2 linked regions of the Alligator mississippiensis genome follow. The protein of the gene in region 2 interacts with the protein of the main gene of each other region in a pairwise test. Links are inferred from orthologs where the notes say so. Each region holds a gene or a part of one and is shown on either strand. Other genes may lie near its edges.

What was found.
Region 1: the proteins of KEAP1 (region 2) and LSM3 interact in binary tests that used the Homo sapiens proteins (3 or more experiments, as listed by UniProt). The two-hybrid records come from large-scale screens. The link is inferred for Alligator mississippiensis from reciprocal best matches to the Homo sapiens genes KEAP1 and LSM3.

Annotation. Positions count from the first base shown.
Region 1 is NC_081835.1:16,882,296-16,890,766, reverse strand, and holds the start of LSM3 (U6 snRNA-associated Sm-like protein LSm3), read left to right. Parts: upstream 1-5,348; 5' UTR 5,349-5,425; coding exon 5,426-5,446; intron 5,447-5,738; coding exon 5,739-5,849; intron 5,850-8,471. Other genes in the region: XPC (DNA repair protein complementing XP-C cells), read right to left, coding at 1-10, 1,690-1,817, 2,398-2,605, 5,103-5,178. UniProt on the Homo sapiens protein: Plays a role in pre-mRNA splicing as component of the U4/U6-U5 tri-snRNP complex that is involved in spliceosome assembly, and as component of the precatalytic spliceosome (spliceosome B complex).
Region 2 is NC_081831.1:22,436,423-22,444,241, forward strand, and holds the start of KEAP1 (kelch-like ECH-associated protein 1), read right to left. Parts: upstream 3,049-7,819; 5' UTR 2,939-3,048; intron 1,725-2,938; 5' UTR 1,646-1,724; coding exon 1,103-1,645; intron 363-1,102; coding exon 1-362. Other genes in the region: CRB3 (protein crumbs homolog 3), read right to left, coding at 5,019-5,219, 5,385-5,443, 6,515-6,590. UniProt on the Homo sapiens protein: Substrate-specific adapter of a BCR (BTB-CUL3-RBX1) E3 ubiquitin ligase complex that regulates the response to oxidative stress by targeting NFE2L2/NRF2 for ubiquitination.

The DNA.
Region 1 (8,471 bases), on a different chromosome or scaffold from region 2:
TCTTGGAGTTCTGGAAACATAAAACTAAAAATAATCCATCTAGAATAGATGGCTCAGTGGACTGAAAGCGAAAGAAGAAGCCTCTCACTTTTTACTCATCTGTTCAAATTCAGCCCAGCTAGGGAATGTGCCTAATATTTACCAAATAATTACCATTTGATGATGTTAAATAAGCAGATATTCCATGCTTATTACATTTTCAGAGTGACAAGCGTGCTATAATCAAGAAACTCATTTGTTCCAGTTTAACAGGTCAGCCTATAACAAACAACCCTCTTCAGAAGACAGGCCAAGGACTGATGGGTCATTTCAGAGCTGGCACAAGGGACACCAGAAGAGCAGCATAGCAGAAACTTGCAATGGGCACTGTCCATGGTAGAATGACAGCCCAAGAACCGTCTCCACAGTGTCTTACAGAAGTACTACATTTTCTATCAGCACTTACTTAGGTCAGAGCTGTGAAGTGGCAGCTTTTCTACAGCACTGCAGCTGTGTTTAGGATAATGGTCTGGGACTCTGCCATATTTTGTATATAAAATAATGTTATATCACATAGTTATGATATGCTTGACTTCAGCATCTTAATTTTGGTGCTCCTCTTTGTCTGCTTTATCCTTGCATTTAGCTCCTTTTTCTTTGTTATCAGTTCAAAAGGACAGCACAGACTCACGAGCATTTAAATAGGGAGATTGTTTTAATAGGTATAGATTTAAATTGGCAGAAGTGAAAAGATTCTAGTTCTCATGGTCTGTTTTCATGGCCTATTGACTGGTATCTGGCCAAATGATTTAACTGGTCTATTCTTTCTTGCTAGAATGTCTTTGTCTTATTAGATTCATTCAACATTTCTTTACAGATAGAACAATTGACACTACACATTTACATATAATTCAGAGAATGCCATATATGCAGTAAGGCTGTGCAAAGCTTCAGTCACTGATTCAGTTTGGAGGAGATTTGGTCCAATTCGGTGGCCAAATCTCCGAATCGAATCAGAAGACCCGTTAATCACTCCGAATCGAATCGGAAGCCTCCGAATCGATTCAGAGACATTCAACAATTTGGCCATAGACACAGCTTTATATGTTTTTTCTACAAACCTCAAGGTATCAGGTGGCTTGTGAACACTGAGATGCTAGGGTAGATGGAGCATCCCACAGAAGCACACAGGGGGTCCCCTGTGCACTCAGCAGCAGACCCAGAAGTGGACCCCGCCCCAGCTCAATGACTGGTACCTCCTGGGTCTGGGGGGCACCCGGGGTCCCCCCACGTTCCTGTGGGACGCTCCATGCGCCCCAGCATTGCAGCATTCATGAGCCACACCTGGTACACCTCAGGGTGTGTAGAAAAACATATAAAACTGTGTCTATGGCTGAATCACTGATTCTCTGAATCAGCATCGAATCTTCAGATTTGGATTCGGCCAAATAATTGAATCAGGACAGAAATCCAAATCAGTTAATCGAATTGCTGTTCCCCAAATCGGGCTGAATCTAAACCTGAATTGAATACAGCCTGCTTCGCACACTCCTAACTTACAGGATCAGCATTTTAACACATGCCATGCACTGTGACCATTTATTGGACCCTGCATAAAGATGGACGGGTTCCACTGAAAGCAGCCAGAATCAGTTAAACTATCCCAAAGAATGTCTGATAGTTGATAAGGCCATGTTGAAAGATTCGTACCTTCCACATCCTCCCATTCATCCTCACTTTCATCATCATTGCTGCCATCATTGTTTTCATCCATCTCTTTTTTAACAGTGGATTCTCTCTTCAAACTCTTCCCGTTCCCAGAGGGGCTTGGTAAACCACTATAAAGGTTGCACAAAAAAAAACTTCAAAGTTGTGGGTTATATCATCTTGTTTGTTTAAAATGTGGAGGGAGGACAATGTCTGTACTAATTAGAGGAACACATGTAATATGACAACGTTATCAATAACAACAGCTGCAAAAGCTTAGAATATACTTAAAACCTAAACCACAAATACCAGCATGGACACAATCTTTGCAAGCAATACATGGATGATAAACACAAAATATTTCACTGGCATTTTTAAGTCTGTTTATGTTGCATTATAAAATGCCTCCAATTTAAAAAAAAAACTATAATTTGGGGGGTCTTAAGTCCTTAACAACTTCCTTCTGAAATTAAAATACACATTAAGCTTGGAAAAGCCTCAAACGCTTTCCACCCCCATTCAGTTCCATACACTTGATCCCATGAACATGCACACAAGTAATTTGGCTCATATGTGAAGCTATGATGAACAGAATGGTACCAAACAGCAGAAGTAAATTTCTCCTATATGAGGTTTGTTGAACTGGGTGTTAAGTAAACATGTTTAGCAATGGACATGTAATAGTTGTATTGATGCAGTCAGTTAACTTACCTGCACATTTCCTCCTCTTTAGGATTTCCTTCATTTTTTATAGCTTTGTTATTTTTCCCCTTTCCTCTTGACTTTGATTCTTTTTGGCTTGTAGCTCTAGTTGCTGGACTGTAAACTCTAGTGTCACCATCTTCTTTCTTCTTCTTCTTTCCACTGAGGGCCTTTGAGACACTCCTCTTCAAAATAGGCTTTTCCTCTTCAAAGTCATCTAAATTGGAACAGAGGGAAAGAAGTGTTATGGAGCAAAATCCTGGCTCTCTTGAAATCAACCATAAAACACCTACTGACGTCAATGGGGCCGAGTTTCTATGGAGCAAAAAATGCAGGCTAAGAGCGAACAAACTGCCTTTAAGGATATCCTTAAAACAAATGGGTAGCATTAAATCAAAAAGCACGTGTGAAATAAAATTATAAGGAAAGTTCAGCTCAGAAGACAAAAGATTTATTCCTGGGTCTTTTCCAATGATGACAAAAAAAAAGCAAATATTCTTGCTTCAGTACTGCATATTGAAGCATCTACTGCATAAAAAAAAATCTCTAGGCAAGTGGAATTTTTGCAAGTTTGATTTAAATAACCCCTTTTCTCAAGAGTCTCCTGAAGCAACAGCAAGCTGCTTTCTTAACCTGCTGCGTCTATGTACTACTATGATGAATTGGATAGATCTTACACGTATGAAATCGATCTGGTTTCATGCAACATAGCAGGCTTACCTACCTTTCAGATTATGGCCTAATGTAGTTGAGATAAAGTTAGACAAGTTTTCACATGTAAGATATTTTTCTCAGGTCTTACATGTGAAAGCTTGCTTATTTTCATCCCAACTCCATAGTTGGTCCAATCAAAGATCTCACCCTATGAAATCCTTGCCTCTTGCATTATTTCTGGATCATCATAGTTACAACATCACTCTTACACTACCATAGAGGGAGAGAGCATTCACTTAGATAGCTCTAGAGCAATCTACACCCCGCTGGCATTCAATATCCCCCCTGGTATCCACGGGCAAATCTAGGATTTTGAAAAGAAGGGTGCAGATGGTGTAGAACATCATATCATAGGATCACAGAAAATTAGGGTTGGAAGGGACCTCAGGAGGTTATCTAGTCCAGTGGTTCTCAACCTTTTTTTGTACAAAGACCCATTTGTAAACATTGATGGCCAGTCCCGACCCAGTGCCCCTCACTCCTGACCGACTGCTTTCTGCCGCCAGCTCCCCAGTGTGTGGGGCAGGAGTGATACATGTGGGGCATATGTGTGGGGCGTGGGGCATGGGGCATAGGGCATATGTGTGGGGCATGGGGGGCTCCAAGCAGCCCGCTGCAGGCGGGAACTCTGACAACCTGCAAGAGAAAAGCCACCGTTTCCCACATTTTATTCCTTTAAAGGAGAATCCATTTTGTTGATCCATTTTTAAAGTTTGTTCAAGACCCTCTCTCATATTCTTGCTACCCACTTTTGGGTCACAACCCATATAGGTAGAGAAACACTGAGCTAGTCCAACCTCCTGCTCACAACAGGACCATCCCCAACTAGATCGTCCCAGTCAGGGCTTTGTCTAGACAGGTGATCTGCCGAGGTCCCTTCCAGCCCTAACGTCCATGAAATCTATGAAAAAATCTCCAAGGATAGAAATTGAAACTAAAACTACACCACTATCCTTCTACTTCTTTTCCTTCCATTATAACAAGGCAGGTTGTTCATTCATTTGTTGCTTCCACCGTTTTACAGACAGATATAACCAAAGTATAATACAAGTAACTGTAATTTGAATCAATAATACAATGAGCAAAGGGCTGTAATAATGTAAATCCTTGGATGAAGATCCGATGGGTCAGGTTATCCCACCGGTTGTCTGCAGTACTTTCTTGGATGCTAGCACTCAGTTCCTGGAGCTGTTTGTTTTTTTGATCCATGAGCATCCCCACAACTTTCCCTTCTTCTTTTAGGAGAGACCAGTCTTTCTCTATTTACCAATTTCTTCCAGCTCCTTCCACAGCCAAATGTGCAAGTTAAGGCCACCCACACGAAAGCGCTGTACTACGGCTTCTGGGTCAATCTGTTGTGCAACGATCCCAGCGCTCGCCCCTAGGAGCCCAGGGCAGGGGGTCGGACTTCGTGATCCGTTCAGATCCCTTCAGACCCTAGAAACTAGGAAACGCTTTATATTTGATGCCTGGGATCCAGGACCTCACCCGTCTGTGTGGAAACGTTACGGCACCACGCTCCCTCTTCACGACCGCTCCGGGTAACCTGTGCCGGTGCTTTTCTACCCTCCTTGCGAAAGCTTTTCCTAATATCCTACCTAAACTTCCCTAAATGCAACTCACATTTTTTTTCCCCCTCCGGTCAAAAAAGAAACTTGACGCTTTATTAATATGCTAAGGGGGGGGGGGGGGCACTATACTATTAGAGCAAAAAACAACTATAACTATTGGAGTGCGCGTGAGTTTTCTAGAGCATATATAAAACTTAAAAAAAAACCCAAAATAGTCAAAGGGTATCGTATCGTCAGTGCTGAGGTCATCAAGAGTGAAAGGCATGTCTGTCACTCAGTTATATAACAAGATCCAGCCGTGTCGGGCTCTGGTGCTTTGCTGTCAGTCATTTCCACACCCGAGTTAACGTCTCACCGCCCCGGCACCGAGCCCGGCTTCACGGTCCGCGATCCCGGGGCCTCCAGCCGGGCCGCCGCCGCCGCACTCACCGTCCGACCCGCGCGGGGGCTTAGGCCTCTTGCTGGCGGCCTCCCGCGCCGGGACCCCGCGGCGCTTTCTCCCCATGCCGCAGCGCCGGCTCCCAGCCCCGCCCACCTGACGTCCCTTCCGGCCCCAGCACCCCGCCCCCCTCCCGTGAGACACCCGCCCCCTTGAGGTGAGCGGTGCCCATTTCACAGCTGCGAACACTGAGGGCTCGCGGGGAGACAGGCCACGCCCTCTCCCCTCGCGCGACGCGTGACGTCATCACGCCCCCAGCCCCGCGGGATGTGGAAGGCGGGTTCGTGGGATCTCGCGAGAGTTCGTTTGAAAGATGGCGGACGAGGTGGACCAGGTGAGGCGCTTTCCCCGAGCCGGCTCGTGTCATCCGTGTCTCGGCCGCGCTGGCGAGGCCTGAGCGCTGGGACGCTAGTGCTGGTGGGGCGGGCGCAGGCTGCCAGGCCCTCGGGGGATTATGCCCCGTTTGCTCAAGTTGCCGCTTCTGGTGGACGCTGGCTTGATCGGGGTGTCTGTGACACAACAGCAGTGTCCTCGCCCTGTCTCTGCCTGCGAGCCCCGGGGATTAGCACACGCAACGTCCAGGGGGTTTCATGCTTGTAATAGGAACCGCCTCGTTTTTTTCTCAGCAACAGACAACCAATACCGTAGAGGAGCCGCTGGATCTCATCAGGCTCAGTCTAGATGAGCGAATCTACGTGAAAATGAGGAACGATCGAGAGCTCAGAGGGAGATTACATGTAAGCGAAGATCACAGAATCGTAAATAAGGGTTGGAAGGGAGCTCAGGAGGTCGCATCTAGTCCAACCCCTGCTCAAAGCAGGACCAGCCTCAGCTAGATCACCCCCGCCAAGGCTTTGTCTAGTCAGGTCTTAAAAACCTCCAAGGCTGGAGCTTCCACAACTCTTGGTGATCTGTTCCTGTGCTTTACTACCCTCCTAGTGAGGGACTTTTTCCTAATATCCAACCTAAATCTCCCTTGCTGCAACTTGAAACCGTCGGGCATTTTTACCCATGCATGTGCCACAGCGCCGGGCGCTTTGAAAAGCACGTGATGCTGCAATGCATGCGGTTGGGTAAGTGGTGAAGTGCGCGTCAGAGCGTGGAAAATGGCGGTGGTCCACTTTTGAACTAAAACACATCAAAGGTGTTTTCATTCAAATGCACGCCGCTGCCATTTCCTCCGTGCTGGTGTGCATTTTGCCATTTATACAACTGCAGATGACGCAGTGCGGTGTGCATCAGCTCGTGTGCAGAGCAGACTCAGTTAATTAAGTCGATTAATCTGCTCTGATGCACTGGATCTGTGGTGCGTGGCAGCATGAAAAAGTATGTGTATAAATGCCCGTTGTTTCTTGTTCTGTCATGTGTCACCACTGAGAACAGTCCAGCTCCATCCTCTGCAGTCCCACCCTTCAGGGAATTGAATGCTGCTATTAAGTCCCCTCTCAGTCTTCTCTTCTCTAGACTAAATAAGCCCAGTTCCCTCAGCCTTTCCTTATAAATCATGCTCTCCGGCCCCCTGTCCATTTTGTTGCCCTCCACTGGACTCTCCGATTTGGCCGTATCCTTTCTGTATTGGGGGCCCAAAACTGAACACAGTACTCCACATGTGGCCTTACCAGTGCTGAATACAGGGGAATAATCACTTCCCTTGATGTGCTGGCAGTGCTCCCACTAATGTTAGCATTCTTTTCAACAAGGGTACGCTGTTGGCTCATATTCAGCCTATTGTCTGCTATAACCCACAGGTCCTTTTTTGCAGAGCTGCTGCTTGTCCAGTCAGCCCCTAGCCTGTCCTGGTGCATAGGATTATTCCATTCTAAGTGCAGGGTTTTGCACTTGTCTTTATTGAACTTCATGAGATTTACTTTGGTCCAATCCTCCAATTTGTCAAGGTCTCTCTGAATCCTAGCCCTACCCTCCGGCATATCTACTACTCCCCGCAGCTTGAGTATGCAGATGACACCAGCTCCATCCCATTATCCAGATCTGTGGAAATACTTGGGATCAGAGGTCAGTTGGGCTGCAAGGAACCTCTTGAGGTTGTCTAGTCCAGCCCCTGCTCAGGGTAGGATTGCCCCTGACTAAACCATCCCAGCCAAGTGCCTTTCCGACTTTCTCTCAAAAACTTCCAAGGACAGAGATTCCACAGCTTCTCTAGGTAGCCTGTTCCAATGCTTGACCACCCTCATAATCGGAAGGTTCCTCCTAATCTCCAACCTAAATTTCCCTTGCCGTAGTTTGAAGTCATTGCACCTAGTCTCTTTCCCCTATAGTTACAGAGAAACCCCATCTCCATCATTTCTATAGTCATGACTTGGGTATTTGAAGGCTGTTATCAAATTCCCCTTGGTCTTCTATTCTGCAGGCTGGTGAAGGCTGGTTCAGTAGGTAGTATTAGAGACAGATGATGCCTTCATTTCTGTTGTAATGGTGAACTTGTCTGTAGTGCTGCATGCAGGTTACCATAAACTAAATTATGATCTTAATTTAGGGGTCGGCGTCTTTTGACATGCATGTTGTAAGTGGCATACGCTGCATCTATGAGGCACAGGAGATCAGGGAGGCAAAAGAGAACACGGTGGCAGATAGGGCAGAAAGTAGAGCAGGCAGAAGAAGGGAATTAGAGTGACGGACTGGGAGGGTGCAGGGCTTACCATTTGGGTTGGTCTAATAAAAGATATCAAATTCACCCAAGGAACCTTGTGGGCTTACCATGTGACACTTCAGCCAAAAAGTTGGCTTCCCACTGATTTAAAGTTGTATGGCAATTTTTGCACCTGGCACGCAGCACAATCATATCTTGTGATTAGAAACATCTGAAAGGTGGCATATTTCCCCCCTTTGCAAAAGAACTTACTCCTGCTTTCCATACCAGATGTTCTAACAATGTGATAATTCAGAGCAGTGATTGTCAACCAGGATAGCACAGTTCCTCAGGCTGCCATGAGATTTTTTTCAGGGAGTGCTGTAAACAAGTGATCCAGTAAAACTGCCCTGCATGTAGTGCACATCCTTCCTGCGTTAGGGTTCTCTAATAACTGTAAAGGAGACAGCAGGGTCAGCTTGTGCTGTAGCCCATCCCAGTTAACCCCAACCTCAATCCCCTGACATGCCAAAAATCAGAGGCATGCATGACAGCTCCACTGTCCCACCTGACTCTTCCTGGGAGATATTGTGCAGTGGCAGACCTAGAATGGCTGCAGCACAATCCAATAGGGCTGCGCAAAGTTTTGGGTACTGATTTGATTCAGAGGAGATTTGGCCCAATTCGGTAGCCAAATCTCCGAATCCAAATCAAATCGGGACCAATTAAAAGGTCCAAATCTATTCGAAGCTCTCTGAATCAATTCAGAAAA
Region 2 (7,819 bases):
TAGCCACCAACTGCGTAGATGAGCTGGCCCACCTTGGGCGTCCGGCTGGGCAGGCGCTGTGTGGGCTTGTGCAGCGTCAGGTCCTGGAAGATCTGGGCCAGGTAGTCTTGGCAGCGTGTGTCACCCTGCAGCACCTCGCACTCGCGAAGCTGTAGCTGCAGGAAGCCAGGACTGAGCGCGTGGCAGCGTACAGCACGCAGCAGTGCCTGCACATAGGGGCGCCGACTGGCGCAGTCGTAACGCACCCAGTCAATGCAGGCATGGAAGACCTCAGACTCACAGCGCACGTTCAGCTCATCCCGGCTGATCAGCGTCACCAGCTGACAGTGTGATAGGTTGAAGAACTCCTCCTGCTTTGCCACCTGTTGACAGTGGGGGCATGATGAGGACACTGGGGACACCAGCCCTGTGCATGCCCCGCCCCCAGTTCTGGAGGTATGTGGTATACAGAGGCCCAGGTCCAGCCCCCACTGCCCTGAGAAGGGGGGCACTGAGAGGACCTGAGATACCCATAGGGGCAGTGGGAAGTCAGGGCATCTTCTCTCCTGCTGTCTTGATACTTCTGTCTCTGCAGATACTCTGAGTGCTCCCGTCCCCCAGCTGTGGCCCACCTGTGCCCACGTTCCCCCATCCTGACTCCAGGCTACTCCAGCCTTACTTTCTATATGAACCTGGTTGCCCCTTGTCATGGCACATCACTAGCCCCCCGCTATTACCTCCATCATTCCCCCATTACCGACTCCCAGGAACCCAAGAGGCAGCCCCTTGCTCGGCCCTGCCTGGGTCAGCCACCAGGGGGTGCGACACTGACCAGAGCAGGCTGCATTCCACCCCAAACCAAGGAGGGAGTCTGGCCAGAGCCAGCCCCTCACCCTGGATCCTCCCAGACATGGAGTGGAGTCTGTTTCTATTGTGTTAGGGCTGTCGACTCTCGGCAACCCCGCCATGACCCTCCCCTCCCCTCCCAAGAGATGTACTTACTGGGAGCCCCTTCCCTGCCTCCCACCCCTCCTCACCTGCCCAGAGTGCATGGAGTTGTACTCGCGGCAGCCCCCTCCTGCCCCCTGGAACCCTCTTGCCCTGCTCTTCAGCCCCCCCTGACCTCCGCGAAGTGCCTGTAGATGTACTCCCGCGCCCGCTGATGCAGCTCGCTGCAGTCAATCTGCTCGGCAAAGTTGGCGATGCCAATGGCATTGCTGGGGTCTAGCTGTTGGGCCAGGAAGTCAGCACAGGCACGGACCACGCTGTCAATCTGGTACATGACGGCACCATTCATGACATGCAGCACACAGCGCTCACCCACAGCAATGGAGGCTGTGTAGGCGAACTCAATGAGACGCTCCATGACCCGTGGGTGGATGCCCTCAATGGGCACCACCTCCATGCCCTGTTCCCGCAGCCCTGCTGTGAACATGGCACGGAAGACAGGGCTGGATGAGGCCAGCACCACTTTGTGGGCCTGGAAATCAGCAGGCGGCGCATCGCGGTAACGCACACGCAGTGTCACATCGCAGAGCTGCTGGCTCAGTCGTAGCTCATTCATGATGGCCAGTGCTTGGCATGGGTGCTCATCCAGTGTGTAGCTAAAGGAGCGTGGCCCTGCCGGTGATGGTGTCACCTCTGCCTGGCACTCAGGTGCATACATCTTGGCAGCTCCAGCGGAGGTTGGCTACACAGCTAAGGACAGTACTGTGGAGCTTGGGTGCTGGATGGTGCCGTCAAACCTGCAGGGGAAGAGGCAGGGGGTTAGAAGGGGGACCTCAAAACTGCTCTCCCACTGAAACCAGGGGAAGCCCAAATCTGCCACTGTTCCCCCACCCCAGGTCCTGGAGTGTGAGGGCTACAACACACTGCCCAAAGTGGGAATAGGGGACCCAGATGTCTGGGAGGGGGGTAGGGCCCAGTAGCCAGTAGACGTGGGGGCCTGGATGCATGGGCTCATTCCTAGTTCAGGAACAGCAGTAGGACCCAGGGGGGTTGCTGGGAGCTTGGACACCTATGTTCCCCTCACTCTGGGTCCTAGATCACCCTGTCAGGTTGGTTTCTGGGAGGACCCTAAACCTGCCCCCTACCTAGAACCAGGGGAACCACAACCCTGCTCCCCCTCCCTGAAACCAGGACAGGACCTGTCTGGCACCCCTTAATCACCAGGCTGGCCTCACAGCTTTGACCTGTGGGGACACTGCATCCTGGGTGACTGGGAGTGCAGGCCCAGCAGTTAGGTGCATTATGGTAGCAGCCCCCCAACCACCTTCAAAAGACAGGGCTGTCCCATAGCCCCAGGCACTGGGCAGACTCCCCATGCCAGTGGTTCCCCCTGGGCTGAGCACCACAAGCCCTTCACTGGGACTGTTTCCCCCCCCCCGGTGTCAGGGGCTGCACCCAGGGCCTTGGCTCCCCAAACCCCCTCCCCCCCTGCCTCCAGGCTTGGGCTAGGCGCCCTGGTCCCCGTTCCACCATGCTGGAACCAAGGGGACTCGCTAGCAGGCAGGAGCAGTACCGGGCCCGTGACACAGCCGCCCTGCCGAGGGTGGCGCCTATCCCCGTCTCCTCCCCAGAGCCCTGGGCCGGTACGGGCTGGCGTAGGGAAACTGAGGCACGCTCGCAAGAGGGCGAAAACATGGGGCCCAGTGTCCCCGCACTCCCCTCCCCAAACCAGCGGAGAACCCAGGCATCCGGGCTCCCAGCTCCCCGCCTCAGGCCCTGCTCTCCTCCCACCACGGCGGACGGAACCCAAGCGTCCGGGCGGGGGCGGGGCCGGGCCGGACCCCCACTCCGGCGAGCAGGGCGCGATAACGTGTTGCACCCGAGGGGCGACCCCCACTCACTGCCCCATTGTCTGGCTCGGGGAGGGGGGGATCCGCCCTCCTCCCGCAGAGTCCCGCTCCCCCCACGGGGTCCGGCCCCCCAGCCAGGGAGGGGGACGGGGGTCACTCACCCGGCCATGGCTGCGCTGCCGGGTCCGGCTGCAGCGGGGGGGCGGGGGGAGTCACCGTGACTAAGCAGAGCGCGCGGCGCTGTCAGAATAAGAGTCCAGTCCCGCCCTCCCCAGGCCCCGCCCCCTCCGCCCCACCCCCTGATGGAAGCGGCAGCGCCAACGTTCGACTCGGACCCGGGCCCGGACCAGGCTGAAGTGCCGCATCCGCTTGTGGGAGCGAGGGGACCCCTATTCCCACCCCAGGACGGGAGGCGGCGGGGAGGGGAAGGGTGGGCGAGCGAGCTCCTAAGCTTCTGCCCACCGCCCTGTCCGGAGCTCTGCTCGCTGCTCCGCCAAAGTGGGGGGAAACTGATGCACGGGGCGCCGCCGAGGACTCCTCCGTGACTCCGGCTCTCTCCCTCCCAGGCTCCGCGCTCTACTCCCCTCCCCGATCCCCGGAGGGAATCCAGGAGTCCGGGATGGGTGTGCACTGGTGTGTGTTGGAGGTTAGACTGCTGCTGGGGTTTAGACACAAGGGGGACGGGGAGGGGTTGTGAGGTCCCAGCCCTGGGGGGAACCTCAGTGCTGAGATGCAGCCACCTCTGGGGTGGGCCGAGGGCAGGGAAGAGAGTTGGCCCCTGTCCCGGCGGTTTCCATTACCACCTGGAGCTGAATTCCACTGGGTTGAGGGGAAGGCACCATTTGCCCAGGTTTAGGGGCAGGCAGAGATCACTATCCTTGGATAAGGTAACTGGGTACTGAGCTCAGCTGCCTGGGCCTTAAGGGAGAGCAGCAGTGGCAGGTGCATGGCTAGGGGCCTGGGGTGGGGAAATCACCAGGGCTCCCCAGCCTTGAGCACTGCCCCCCCCCATGGCTGTAGGATCTTGGCCCCCTAACACCAAACCCACCCCCCATCATAGGTCCCAGTGCATCCTGGGATGGTGGAGGTGCCCTGATGGGAGGAGGTACAAAGCAGGGGGCAGTGCTGGGGGTTGGGCTGGAACCTTTGGGGCTGCCCCACTGTTGAGGGGCCTCCAGGGGTAGAAGAACCTGACCGTGCTAGGTGCTGCACCTCAAGCCAGGTCAGCAGGGTGCCCCCCCTTCCCCAGCCCCCAGTGACACTGGCCAGTAGCTGGGGGTGGAGGGGGTTCTGCACCTGTTCTTCACTTCCCTGCTGGCAAGCAGGCCCCAAGTGGGCAGGCCATAGGGGACAGGGCTCCTTGGCTCTCAGCTCTGGGACAGCAGAAAAGGATGGGGGTAGGACCCCTGCTCCAGCTCCTGGCAGGCAGGAAGCTCCCTGCTCACTTTGATCTGCTGCCCCAAGCAGGGGTAGCTGAGCCTTGTCTCCCACCCCAATACACAGCAGCAGGAAGCTATTATCCCCCTCACACCAGCCTTGGGTGGGGGGGAGGGGTCATCCCTGCACCTTCAGAGCGGGCCTGGAAGGGGACATAAGCACCGTTTCCCACATAGGCAAACAGGCATGACAGGGTATGGAGGTGGGGCCAGCTGAGGCTGGAAGAGCAGCATCCCCCCACCCCAGTCCTCCTGTGACAATTCAGTACCAAACCCAGGATTTTATTAAACATCCATTCAAAGCCATTGAAGGGGAGGGGAGTGGGGGGACAGATTAGAGCAGCATCAGCCCGACCCCCTACCCCCACAAGACAGACACAGGGGGCTGTGCCCAGGGGAGCAGGGGTAGAGACCAGTCCAGTGGGCAAGGGGCAGGACCCCACCTATTGCTTTGGCCACCAGGGAGCACAAGTCCAACCCCCACCCCGAGCCTGGACAGACAAAGGGACACTGGAGAGACCAGTGTGGGGTGAGGGGCTGTCAGGGACCCCCCTTCTTGGGCTCAGCCACCAGGGAACACTCATGGGGGCAGATCCAGCACCAGCCCCTTCTGCAGGACAGACAGACAGATGCAGGAATAAAGACCAGTCCAGAGGGGGTGCTGTCTGGGCCCCCCCCCCCTATTGCTTCAGCCACCAGGAAGCACCGCAGGGTAGCAAGGCAGCTGCAACTGTCCCCTGCCCCAGCATGGTTCCCCGTAGATGGGGGGCAGGAGTCCAAGAGGGGGCAGAAGTCTGGGAGGATCTCAGATGAGTCGCTCCTCAGGGGGCAGTTTGAGGTGGGGGCTGGGCCCGACGCGGGCACCCGCCTGCTCCTCACTGCTAGGTCGGTAGGTGCCCTCTGTCTGCCGTTTCTCCCGCAGCTTCAGCACCCCGAAGACCAGGAGCCCCAGGAGCAGCAGCCCCCCGAAGATGCTGCACACACTGATGGCTGCCACCTCCCCTGCCTGTGCCCGGACAGAGTGGGGGGGGGGGAAAAAATCAGTGGGGGGTACTGGACCCCCCCAGTTTCATCTAAGGTAGGACCCAGAGCCCACCCCCACTCCCTGCACCCAGTCCCCAGCCCGGTCCCCTCCTACCCTAATTCCCCCCCCATACCCCTTTTCACCCACCGTGAGCCCTGAGGAAGCAGCTGGACCGTCTGTGCGGTTACTGCTGGTCGTGTTGGCCTCTGGGTTGGAGGGAGGCAAAAGGAAGGAAGGGGTTAATCCCGGGGTGGGGGGGGAATAAACAGCCATGAAGAGGCATGTGCTGGAGTAACACCACCCCCCACCCCCGGCCCCAGGCAAGGTAGTGCTGTGCCTGGATCCACCCCCTCAAGATGCAACCAGCTCTGGAGTGGGGCAGCCGCCCAGGGGAACAGGAAGTGGAGGAGGCCCCCCCACCTCAGCTGGAGGCAAGCAGCGCACACCCTGCCCCACCCCAAGGGACAGGTGCCCCCAACCCTGCCACCCCCATAGAACCCAGACATCCTGCCCCCCCCCCCCCACCTCTGCCCCACCCACCTGACGTATGGCCAAAACTTCCAGGTCTTGAGCAATGGATAGGCTGGTCAGGCCTGATACCATCCTGCAGTTCTTGAGGGACCCACCTCCCTGGAGAGCCCAGGTGTCTGGCCTCCTGCACCATGCCACCCCCTGCCCCCAGTAATCAAACCATATCCCCAAAGTGGTAGAGTGGAGAACCCAGGCAGCCTGGCTCTCATGTCCCCCTGCTCCAACCCAGCAGACCCCCCCCACCCCTCACAACTGGAACACAGGGAACTCGAGTATCCTGATACCCCGCCATGCCTGGGAAGTGGGGGTTGGGTATTTACACAGGGGTCCATGGAGGGGGTCCACCTGCTTGGGCAGAGCCCCTTTGTGCCTCACCCAATTGCCCTACCCGGCCCTGCTACTGACATGCAGCCACCTCTGGGGTGGGGCAGTGGCAGCCACATAGCACAGAGAAAGGGGTGGGGGGTCCCTCCTCCATCCAGGCCCATTTCTCTGGCCCCAGGTGCAAGGCACTGTACGTTTTCTTCCCCCCCTCTCCCATGAGCAGCCCCCTAACCCAGCACCTCTGGGGTGGCCCCAAGCTGCTGCTGGCTCTGGTGTGGAACAGGGAAGCTGCACAGCATGAAGCCATCTCATCCTAACTTGCAGGGACCCCTCCAGACCCTGGCCCTCATCCCCTCCCCTCCCTGTGCCGGGAAGAGAACCCAGGTGTCCTGGCTCCCATCCCCCTTGGCTCATTCACTTACCTTGGCCCAGGGCTGGGTGGACTATGGTCTGTAGCATTGCTGCTAGCAGCAGGGCCAGCGGGGGCAGTTCTGCCATCACCCCCGACTGGGGGGGGATATAGTGACCCCCCCCAATTAATCAGCTTCTCAGGGTGGTATATGTAGCCGAGCCTTCAGTGAGATGCAGCTGCTTCTGGGGAAGACCACGGGGTCCCCAACCTGGGGAAGGGACAGGGGTCGGGCTCAGGAGCAGTGATAGCAGTGGGGGAGGATGCAGCACAGGGTGCTGTACCCATGGAGCAGAGACCCCACTACTCCCTGTGCTGCAGAGAGAGGGGAAACTGAGGCACAGAGAGAGGCCGCAGCAGCAGCACGCCCAAAGACTCCCTCGGCCCAGGACATTCTGGGATATGCCCAGTCCCCCCATCTTGATGGTCAATTTTTAAGACCGCAGAGGCGGCCCCACGCGGGAGGTAACCCCTAGCGTGCTGTCCCGCCCAGCCATGGGTGTCCCAGGGAGTGGGGGGTCTTTCTACTCCCTACACGGAGAAGAGGGGAAGAGGCACCTGTTCCCGGAATGAGTGGGCTCCAGGCTACCCGATCTCCTAGGTTCCCGACGGGGGAGGGGTTAACCCCTGCTGTACCACGGGCTGAAGGACGCAGTCCTTTCCCAAAAGCCCCCGGATCTGGAGTCCAAGCCACCCCCGGGGCAAGGGTTGCCTGGCGGATAGGGGGTGACAACTACGCCCCGCCCCCACGCGTACCCCCTCCCCACATTCACTCACCGCCGCGTTCGTCGGTCGTCCTCCCCGAGCTCCTTCGGTCCGGCCCCGCCCTTCCTCCTGCTCACGTGACCCGCGGCCCCGCCCCCTACACCTGAGACCGACAGGTACCGCCCCCCTGCACCTGGGCGGGGCGCACACCTGGCTGCCAAGGCCCCGAGGGAGGGGCTCACCTGAGAGCAGGTGCGTGCAGTCAAGCGGAGAAGCCCGGCGTCCGGGCAACTGAAGCAGGGGGAACCCAGGCGCCCAGCCTCCCCCGCCATGTTCCAGCCCTTCTCAGGAAACCTGGGCGTCCTGGCTCACAGCCCCTTCTCTCCTGCTCTAACCCCGCTCCTCTCCCAGGCTGGAAAAAACCCGGGTGTCCTGGTCCCCCGCACCGCTGCGGCCTGCCCTCCCCTGCGCTCCTCCCTGGCTAAATGCGACGACCTGAAAGTCGCCCCCTCCCCTGCTCTTCAAGCTCTTGGCGGGTGAATGGCCCCGCGCGGGGGTAAGCCGAGGGGTTGGGAACCCAGGAGTCCTGGCTTGGCATCCGGCTCCCTTCAGC